Kluyveromyces lactis: one gene and its partner. The protein of the gene in region 1 interacts with the protein of each later gene in a pairwise test. Links are inferred from orthologs where the notes say so. Each region holds a gene or a part of one and is shown in the gene's direction. Other genes may lie near its edges.

Region 1 (5,269 bases):
ATTTGTGTGTCATTATTGTGATGCAGAATTCAAAATGAGAGGGTATTTAACTCGCCACATCAAGAAACATGCCATAGAAAAGGCATATCATTGTCCCTTCTGGGATGCATCTCTACCTTCTGAGAAACGTTGTCACTCGACAGGTGGCTTCTCCAGAAGAGATTCTTATAAGACCCATTTGAGATCAAGGCATTTCATTTATCCTGATAATGTTAAGAATGTGGACCGTGTGAACTCTCATGGACATTGCGGCCGTTGTAAAAAACACTTTGATTCGACAAATGAATGGATTGAACATCATATTGAAAATCGTGAATGTGAAGCTATTTTGCCAACTTTCAAGGGTAACCTGAAGAAGAGTAAAAAGTGTGGGAAGTTGAAAATGATCATGACCTCTGATGGACAGTCACGTTTCATTTCCAACCAAGCAACTATCAGCGAAGCCAAGGTGCCTATCAGCAACTTCATGCCAGAAAATAGGAAGAAGTTATCGAGTGAGTATTCTAAACCGGCTTCTGCCTCCCCGCCCATCAAACAAACCATATCTGACCTGGCTTTGGATAACACTTTTGCTCTGGCTTCAATACCACTAAACTACAATGGAAATATCAATGGAAATATCAATGAACATAACGACAATCAGAATTACGGTCATTTCGAAAACCAAGTGTATGGCAACGGTGTCCCATCTCTCGCTCCCTCGAACTCTGTCCCCTTCACAGGACAACCACAACTAATACCTCATTCGGGATCTCAAAATACAGCTACTCATTTACGCAAATGTACACAACCATTCGATGAATTCTCCTCATTGAACAAATCACCAGTTGAAGATGCAGCTTTGGACACCGTACGGTCTATCTCATCCCAATCCTCCCATGAACATACTGTTCTCCATAAAGAAATGAACTTCATATCTACCGATCAAAAGTCACAAATAAATCCTGATTGGGAAGTACTCCCCCTCGACATCGAGCAAGCAGGCATGTCTATGGAAGAAGAAGTGAAATTCACGAATAACTCGAATGAACCTAAGATTAATACTACTTTACAAAGACAAATGAATGAGTACGCTCTGGGTGAGAGGCACTTCAGAGAAACTCAGCAATTCATGAACTTTTTCAATTATACTTACAATTACCAAGAATGATTGAATCTTTTTCCATTCGGCTTTTCAGTGGACCTATGTCCACATTAACATTTTCGGTTTATTTTATCTGGTTACATTTTTTTCTTTTCTTTCGATTTTAGATTCATTTTCACTTCACCATTAATGCAACTGACTGTCAGGGGGGCTATTTTATCCCTGGCCAGCTTTCTAAAATCCTCGCGTCCATATACTTATATCGCTTAAATAAGATGAATTCTTACCTACGTATCATTAATTTTTATTATCAATTCACCGATGTTTTATCTTCTCCCTATCGAATCAAAAAGAAAAAATTCCATTAAATTGAACTTTGCTGCATTGGTTATCGATATGTTATGGTCGATAGTCAATGGTTTTCCTCGTGTTATACCTCAGTTAACTAATTTTGGATACTTGCAATACCTCTTTAGGAAAAGTAATATTGAATCGCCTTAACTCAGAAATTAAAAAAATGATTTTACATGTTGAAACACTTAAAACATGATCTTCAATGTGAAGGGCATCCAGGTTGAACGGCTCATCCAAAACCGGACATAGTTGGAGCAAGCTGAAAAAATCAGCAACAATGTCGGCACCATCAAGTCCTTTTCAACATGGTCAGCAATCATCCCAGCCTCCCTCTAGTGTAGGTGCTTATGATAGTTCACAATTCGATGATCAGTCGTTAGGAAACAGAACTCCCCAGTTTCCATCTTCTTCCAGAGGAGTGTCAGATGGAAATAGACATTTCGGTACTGATGACACTAGGCAAGGCATTAATTCAGAATCACAAATAGAGGCTATGGAAAATGATTCACAAGAAATTACTCCATTAGCCGGGATCAGGCAGAAAAACTTGAATGCCATCAAAAAGGTTGATGATAAAACTGGTGAAACTGTAAGAGAGGCATTCGAACATTTCTTGTCAAATTTCACCGCCCTCAATGATGAAACAGGTGAGATGGAGAAGGTTTATAGAGTCCAAATTGAATATATGAGATGGTACGAATTGAATACCATATACGTTGACTATAAACATTTGGCCGAGGTGGAAGACGGAGCTTTAGCGGTTGCTATTTTACAACAGTATTACAGATTTTTGCCATTCCTTTTATCTGGGCTAAGAAATGTGGTGAAGAAGTACGCTCCTGGATTATTATTAACATCTGACTCTGTACTTCCTTCTCAATCTCAAGAGAATTCTCAGGACCGCTCTTCGCAAAGAATAGATTCATCTTTGCCAACTTCGCAGGCTGCCACCGCAGGAGGCACTGCCCCATCTACCATTGCCACTAATCCAGATCAGGTTGAACGTGTTTTGCAAATCAGTTTCCTGAATCTCCCAACTGTCCATAGAATCAGAGATATTAGGGCTAATAAGATTGGTTCTTTAATGGCTATTTCAGGCACAGTCACGAGAACTTCGGAAATTAGACCAGAATTATACAAAGCCAGTTTTACATGCGAATTGTGTCGAGCTGTTATTGACAATGTGGAACAAGTTTTCAAGTACACTGAACCAACCTCTTGTCCAAATCCAACATGTGAGAACCAATCTTTCTGGTCATTAAACGTGAACAGGTCCAAATTCTTGGATTGGCAAAAGGTAAGAATTCAAGAAAATTCCAATGAAATTCCATCCGGTTCTATGCCAAGAACCTTAGATATTATTCTTCGTGGTGACTGTGTCGAAAGAGCTAAACCAGGTGATAGATGTAAATTTATTGGTACTGAAATTGTCGTTCCAGACGTTAGTCAACTTGGTTTGCCTGGTGTTAAAGCAAGTTCGACTCCAGATTCTAGAGGTATCTCACGGACAACGGAAGGATTGAACTCAGGTATTTCTGGGCTCAAATCATTAGGTGTTAGAGATTTAACTTACAAAATATCGTTTTTGGCATGCCATGTTGAAAATGTTGGTACCAGTTTCAATGGTAGTAGGATTAATGAGGAGGACGCCGATAAGACATCCAAATTTGATTATATTAACTTGAGAAACTATCAAAACTATGAAATGGCGGCAGAAACTGATCAAGAAATTTTCCTAACAAGGCTTGATTCTGACGAAATTAATGAATTAAAAGAGATGGTGAAAGATGAGAATATTTATGACAAACTGGTGAAATCGATTGCACCAGCAGTTTTCGGGCATGAAACCATTAAGAAAGGTATCCTTTTACAAATGCTTAGCGGTGTTCATAAAACTACTGTAGAAGGCATTAAATTGAGAGGTGACATTAATATTTGTATCGTTGGTGATCCGTCCACCTCAAAATCTCAATTCCTAAAATACGTCTGTAACTTCTCTCCAAGAGCCGTTTATACTTCCGGTAAAGCATCTTCAGCGGCTGGTTTGACTGCAGCTGTGGTGAAAGATGAAGAAGGTGGTGATTTCACTATTGAAGCTGGTGCGTTAATGTTGGCAGATAATGGTGTTTGTTGTATCGACGAATTTGACAAGATGGATATCGCAGATCAAGTTGCTATTCATGAAGCCATGGAACAGCAAACCATTTCGATTGCCAAAGCTGGTATTCATGCAACATTAAATGCCAGAACTTCAATTTTGGCTGCCGCTAATCCCGTCGGCGGTAGGTACAATAGGAAACTGACTTTAAGATCTAATTTGAACATGTCTGCACCAATTATGTCCAGATTCGATTTATTCTTTGTCATTCTTGATGATTGCAATGAGAAGATCGATACTGAGCTAGCTTCCCACATCGTAGACTTGCACATGAAGAGGGACTCTGCTATTAATCCACCATTCTCAGCAGAACAATTGAGTCGTTATATCAACTATGCCAAGACTTTCAAGCCGGTAATGACTAAAGAAGCTCGTGACTACCTAGTCAAAAGATATACAGAACTAAGGAAAGACGATGCGCAGGGGTACAGTAAATCTTCGTACCGTATAACTGTCAGACAACTGGAATCATTAATCAGATTAAGTGAAGCTATTGCTCGTGCTAATTGCGTGGATGAAATTGTTCCGAGCTTTGTCGCTGAGGCGTACGATTTGTTGAGACAGAGTATCATCCGTGTTGATGTTGATGACGTTGAAATTGAAGATGACGATAACTCCCCAGAAGAAAGTACGGAGGGTGAGGGCACAATACCTGCCACACAACACTTCGGCGAAACACTTGATACACAATCTCAGTCACCTTCTCAACCACTGAACGCCGACTCCGAAACGGGGGGTGGTCCTGACGTAGAGTCTCATGACAACGCTCATCACACAACACATAAAGTCGCAATATCATATGATAAATACGTGGAAATGATGAATCTAATTGTACGGAAAGTGGTTGACAGAGAAAAGAATGAAGAACCTGAAATGACAAAAACTGAGATAGTAGATTGGTATTTACAACAGAAAGAAAACGACATCAACACCGAAGCAGAATATTGGCAAGAAAGGAAATTGGCATTCAAAGTCATCAAAAGATTGGTAAAGGACAGGGTCTTGATGCAAATACATGGTCAAAACGACGATCTATCTGCCGATGTCGAATCCTCAAATGCCAAGACAGTGTATGTGATACATCCGAACTGTAGTGTTCTAGATGAAATCACCCCTAACCCACCTCAATGAAAACTTACTAACTAGACTAATTCAACTAAATTGACCATTTGCACTATCTTTGAAATTTGTAACCATAAATAGATATTTCACTTAATTCACATTTACATCTCTACTTTCACATTCACTTTCACATCTGTGCCTTGCTTGAATTCTCAAGAGAACGCCGATCACGTTGCAAACTACGCTAATTGTATAAGAGAAACCAGTTCACCTTTTGACGAGGAATGTCACTCTTCGTCACGTTGTAACCATAAGCAATTATCCCGTCGCCCCTTAAGCTTTGTAATTAACGTACAAAACTACATTTTCTGAAAGCGTGGGGAAACAATAGAGAACATATTGCATTAAGAGGCCGGAATAAAAGGTTTAGTACGGAGATTAACATGTGCATAGAGGATTTTCGTTCTAACTTTTAAACGATGGAACATAGATCAAGTAACATAGTAATTGGACCTCATAACTTGACAACAGGGATAAACTATATTACTTGATATCACTTGTCGCACATGGATTCAACAATCGGTCTCTGATAGATTAAGGGTTGCGTCTTT
Region 2 (3,612 bases), about 410 kb from region 1:
GTTGCAGAAAAAGCTTGCTAAACTGGTGTCTGACGATATATTCAATAATCTACATCCCCAAAAGGATGATGAGATGCCATTAAGAAGTACCCGGAAGTTGCTCGATGCATTACGTATGTTGATGAAACATTGGAACAAAAAGTTCAAATTAGAACTAACTTCACCGTACGAATTCAATCATTTATATATGGTTCATTGGGATTCGGTGTTGAAGCACAAGTGTGAAAGTGTCACATTCAAAACATTCAAAAAGTTTTTCACAAGGATGCGTGGACCAGCCAATATTAGTGTGCAGGGTTTTGTCACCATGCTGAGAGGTTGTGGATTGAACGCAAGACTCATTCATAGCCTTCAACCACCCGATTTCACTGATAGTAAGATCTACAATAAGCGAGTTGTTTGGAGCTTGGAAAATGAATGCCTAAAGTATCCGATATTTTGGTGCGAAGTATGGGATAAATTTGCGAAACAATGGATCACTATCGATATCGTTGGTCAAGAAATAATTGAACAAGTGCGTTATAAATCAAAACTAGAACCAATAGGTCGTATAAATTCAGCCTTCAATATGATGCGATATGTCATCGCTTTCGATAGAAAACAAGGCTGCAAAGATGTATCTCGGAGATACATAGCACATTTACAAAATAAAGTTCGAAAAAAGAGGATTACAAGAGAAGCTAAACTGAACGAATGGTTTAACAGCATTATAAAGTTTTTGAATAAACGTAATAGGAACAGGATTGATGATTATGAGGATGAATATTTTGATTTGCGTAATGAACACGAGGGAATCCCAGACAGCCTACAAGACATTAAGAATCATCCGTTCTACGTCTTAGAGAAAGATTTGAGAGCAAACCAGGTATTGAAACCGGGTGCTCAGCAGTGCGGCTTCCTTCGACTTCGTAATAAATCAAACTCCCTTCTCAAAGTTTTTCCAAGGAAAGATGTAATATCTTGTTACAGTGCTAGGCACTGGTACATGCAAGGAAGAGCATTGAAGTCGGGTGCCAAGCATCTTTTGACACACAAAATAAAGAATCCTGTCGAAGAAGACGAAGATGAAGAGAGGCTTTACCCCATTGGTCAGACTGAGTATGTTATTCCTAAGCAAGTGGATGCTGATGGTAAAATCCCTACTAATTTCTACGGTAATATTGACATTTATAAACCATGGATGATTCCAATAGGGTGTTGTCTCGTAGAAAATCCAAACTCGATTAAAGCTGCAAGCTTCTTACGTGTTCCATTTGCAAAAGCAGTGACGGGTTTCAAGTTCGAATCGGGACGAAGAGTTAAACCTAAGGTCACCGGCGTTGTTGTCGAGAATGAATACGTCGACGCATTGGTTGCTGTAATAGAAAATATCGAAGAATGTAACGATGATGCAGCTAGACATGAATTAGAGCTTGAGGCTTTGAACGGCTGGTCACTCCTTCTTACCAAACTCAGGATCAAAAGTAGATTGGTTGAAGAACATGGTGCGGTGGCAGATGAAGACGGCAGAGATTACTCTGGTGAAAGAGATAGCGATCTAGAAGATCACGAATCATATACGGGAGAAGACACAGAAATGGGCGGTTTCGAACAAGGTGGGTTCCTTCTTGATTCTAATATGGATGGTGGATTCGTGCCTGAACCAGAATTACAACATGCAGAATCTGAAACAGAACAAGTTGAACATCCACCTGTGACCTATGGTGAAGCAACTCTAGACCGCGCTGAACCAAGTAACACGGAGCCAAACGAAATCGCTGATGAGTTCGAACAGTTCTTGCAAGAAGTTGGATCGCAATCGGATGACGATGATTCATTTCAATATGAATCAGAATAAATCTCAAGATCACGTGAACTATTAGTGTAGCGTATCTAATGACTATGTAATAATATGGAAACAATACATAACATAAAATAAGCATCATGATGGAAGTTGATGTACCAGTGGATCAAAAGCAATCATCGCACAAGACTGTATTGTTAACCGCTGCTACGGTGCAGTGAGTATACATTAATCGATATTCTATCTACCAGTACTCCTGCTCTCTTCAAAGATATAGCAAAATAATGAGCTTCTTGGCTAAGTTACAGCAGTTGAAGCAGACCACTAAGATTAATGAACCGAATCATTCCGCAAACCAAAATAAAGCTAAATCTCTTCAATCTGAAGAAAAACTACTTCCCAAGGATTACGTTCGTGAAGTTGACCCGGCTATTCAAAGATTAAAGGAAGCGCGTAGGTTGAAGCAAGGTATATCATCCACATCGACTAAACCTGCTGCTAAGGCCAGGCATAAAGCGTCATCGCCGAAGGATGAGGCTCCAATTTATAAGAAAAAACCTGGTGTCAATACCACAAGCGGAAAGTATCCTGTCGTGGTACCGAAAAGGGAGCCAATCAAGAAACTATCGTTTGATGAATTAATGAAGCGAGCAGAGCAGAAGTCTAGGGAAGGACCAAAGGAAGACAAGAAGCCGCTCCCGAAGAAACTCGGATTTGATAAAGCCGCTAAACCAAAGGCGGCAACGAAAGATGCTAAACCTGTAAAAGAACCGAAGTCGAAAGTGATGGTAAAGTCTTTCAACCGTTTTGCACAACCAAACGAAAAGCTTGCGAAGAAGTTAAAACTTAAAGAAAAGAAACAAATTATGGCAAGACACGGAGATCAACATTATGACAGTGAGAATGACGAAGATCTCTCAGACTTTATTGAAGATGATGATTTAGACGAGTGTGAACAAGGCTCCAAATCACAACCGTACGATAGAGATGAAATTTGGTCTATCTTCAACAAAGGTAGTAAAAGGAAATACTTTGATTCAGATGATGACGACGATATGGAAGCTAACGAAATGGAGATCTTTGAAGAAGAGGAAAGAGCTACAAAAATGGCGAAGCTTGAAGATAAGAGGGAGCAAGCTTGGTTAAAGGAACACGAAAAAAGGAAAAAGAAACTGAAGAAAAGCCATTCATAAACATGTCAATGTACGAATTGAATATATCATTTATTCATCTAATATACAATTAATTAATGCATTAGTTGAAATCATAGATCCAAATGAAATCAACATTTTGAAGTTTGTGTACTATTATAAAATTGCTTTACAATATCAACTCTATAAATCCATAACATACTGCAAAGATTATGATAATGAAGATCACAACACCAGTAATATAATGCCAAGTAGGTGCAAACGTGAATCTTGAAAACATTAATAACAAAGACCATGCACCGAGAATTAAGGATATGGATAATGATATGAATATCATCGTCAAAATAGAAGTTTCGTTTTCTAGTTGTGTATCATCGTTGAGTGATTTGAACAAAGATGTCATGATACCAATGGTTACGCCTGTAGTCAAACAGGATATTAGCAATGAAGAAACATAGAAGAAAGATATCACCTGGTCATGCTCGAACTCATATATTGATTCTGAATTTTGTTCTTCGAGTTCCCAAAACTTATTCACGTCGTTTCTTTCCGAAGAAGAAGAAGTAAGTATGGAAGTGTCAGTGTCTATTGAGTTGTAGGACTTACCTGCATCTCTTAATAAAGATTTCCTAGCTTGGACGTCGTCAATTATACCGAATGCAATTTGGAACTTCGATA

The links. The genes of interacting proteins can lie anywhere in the genome.
Region 2: the proteins of MCM6 (region 1) and SPT2 interact in a two-hybrid assay, tested with the Saccharomyces cerevisiae proteins (2 studies listed by BioGRID). The link is inferred for Kluyveromyces lactis from reciprocal best matches to the Saccharomyces cerevisiae genes MCM6 and SPT2.

What each region holds. Positions count from the first base shown.
Region 1 is NC_006042.1:935,076-940,344, reverse strand, and holds MCM6 (MCM DNA helicase complex subunit MCM6), read left to right. Parts: upstream 1-1,715; coding exon 1,716-4,727; downstream 4,728-5,269. Other genes in the region: KLLA0_F10109g (C2H2-type zinc finger protein), read left to right, coding at 1-1,150. UniProt on the Saccharomyces cerevisiae protein: Acts as a component of the MCM2-7 complex (MCM complex) which is the putative replicative helicase essential for 'once per cell cycle' DNA replication initiation and elongation in eukaryotic cells.
Region 2 is NC_006042.1:1,342,231-1,345,842, forward strand, and holds SPT2 (Spt2p), read left to right. Parts: upstream 1-2,067; coding exon 2,068-2,976; downstream 2,977-3,612. Other genes in the region: RAD4 (Rad4p), read left to right, coding at 1-1,837; VTC5 (Vtc5p), read right to left, coding at 3,104-3,612. UniProt on the Saccharomyces cerevisiae protein: Histone chaperone that stabilizes pre-existing histone tetramers and regulates replication-independent histone exchange on chromatin.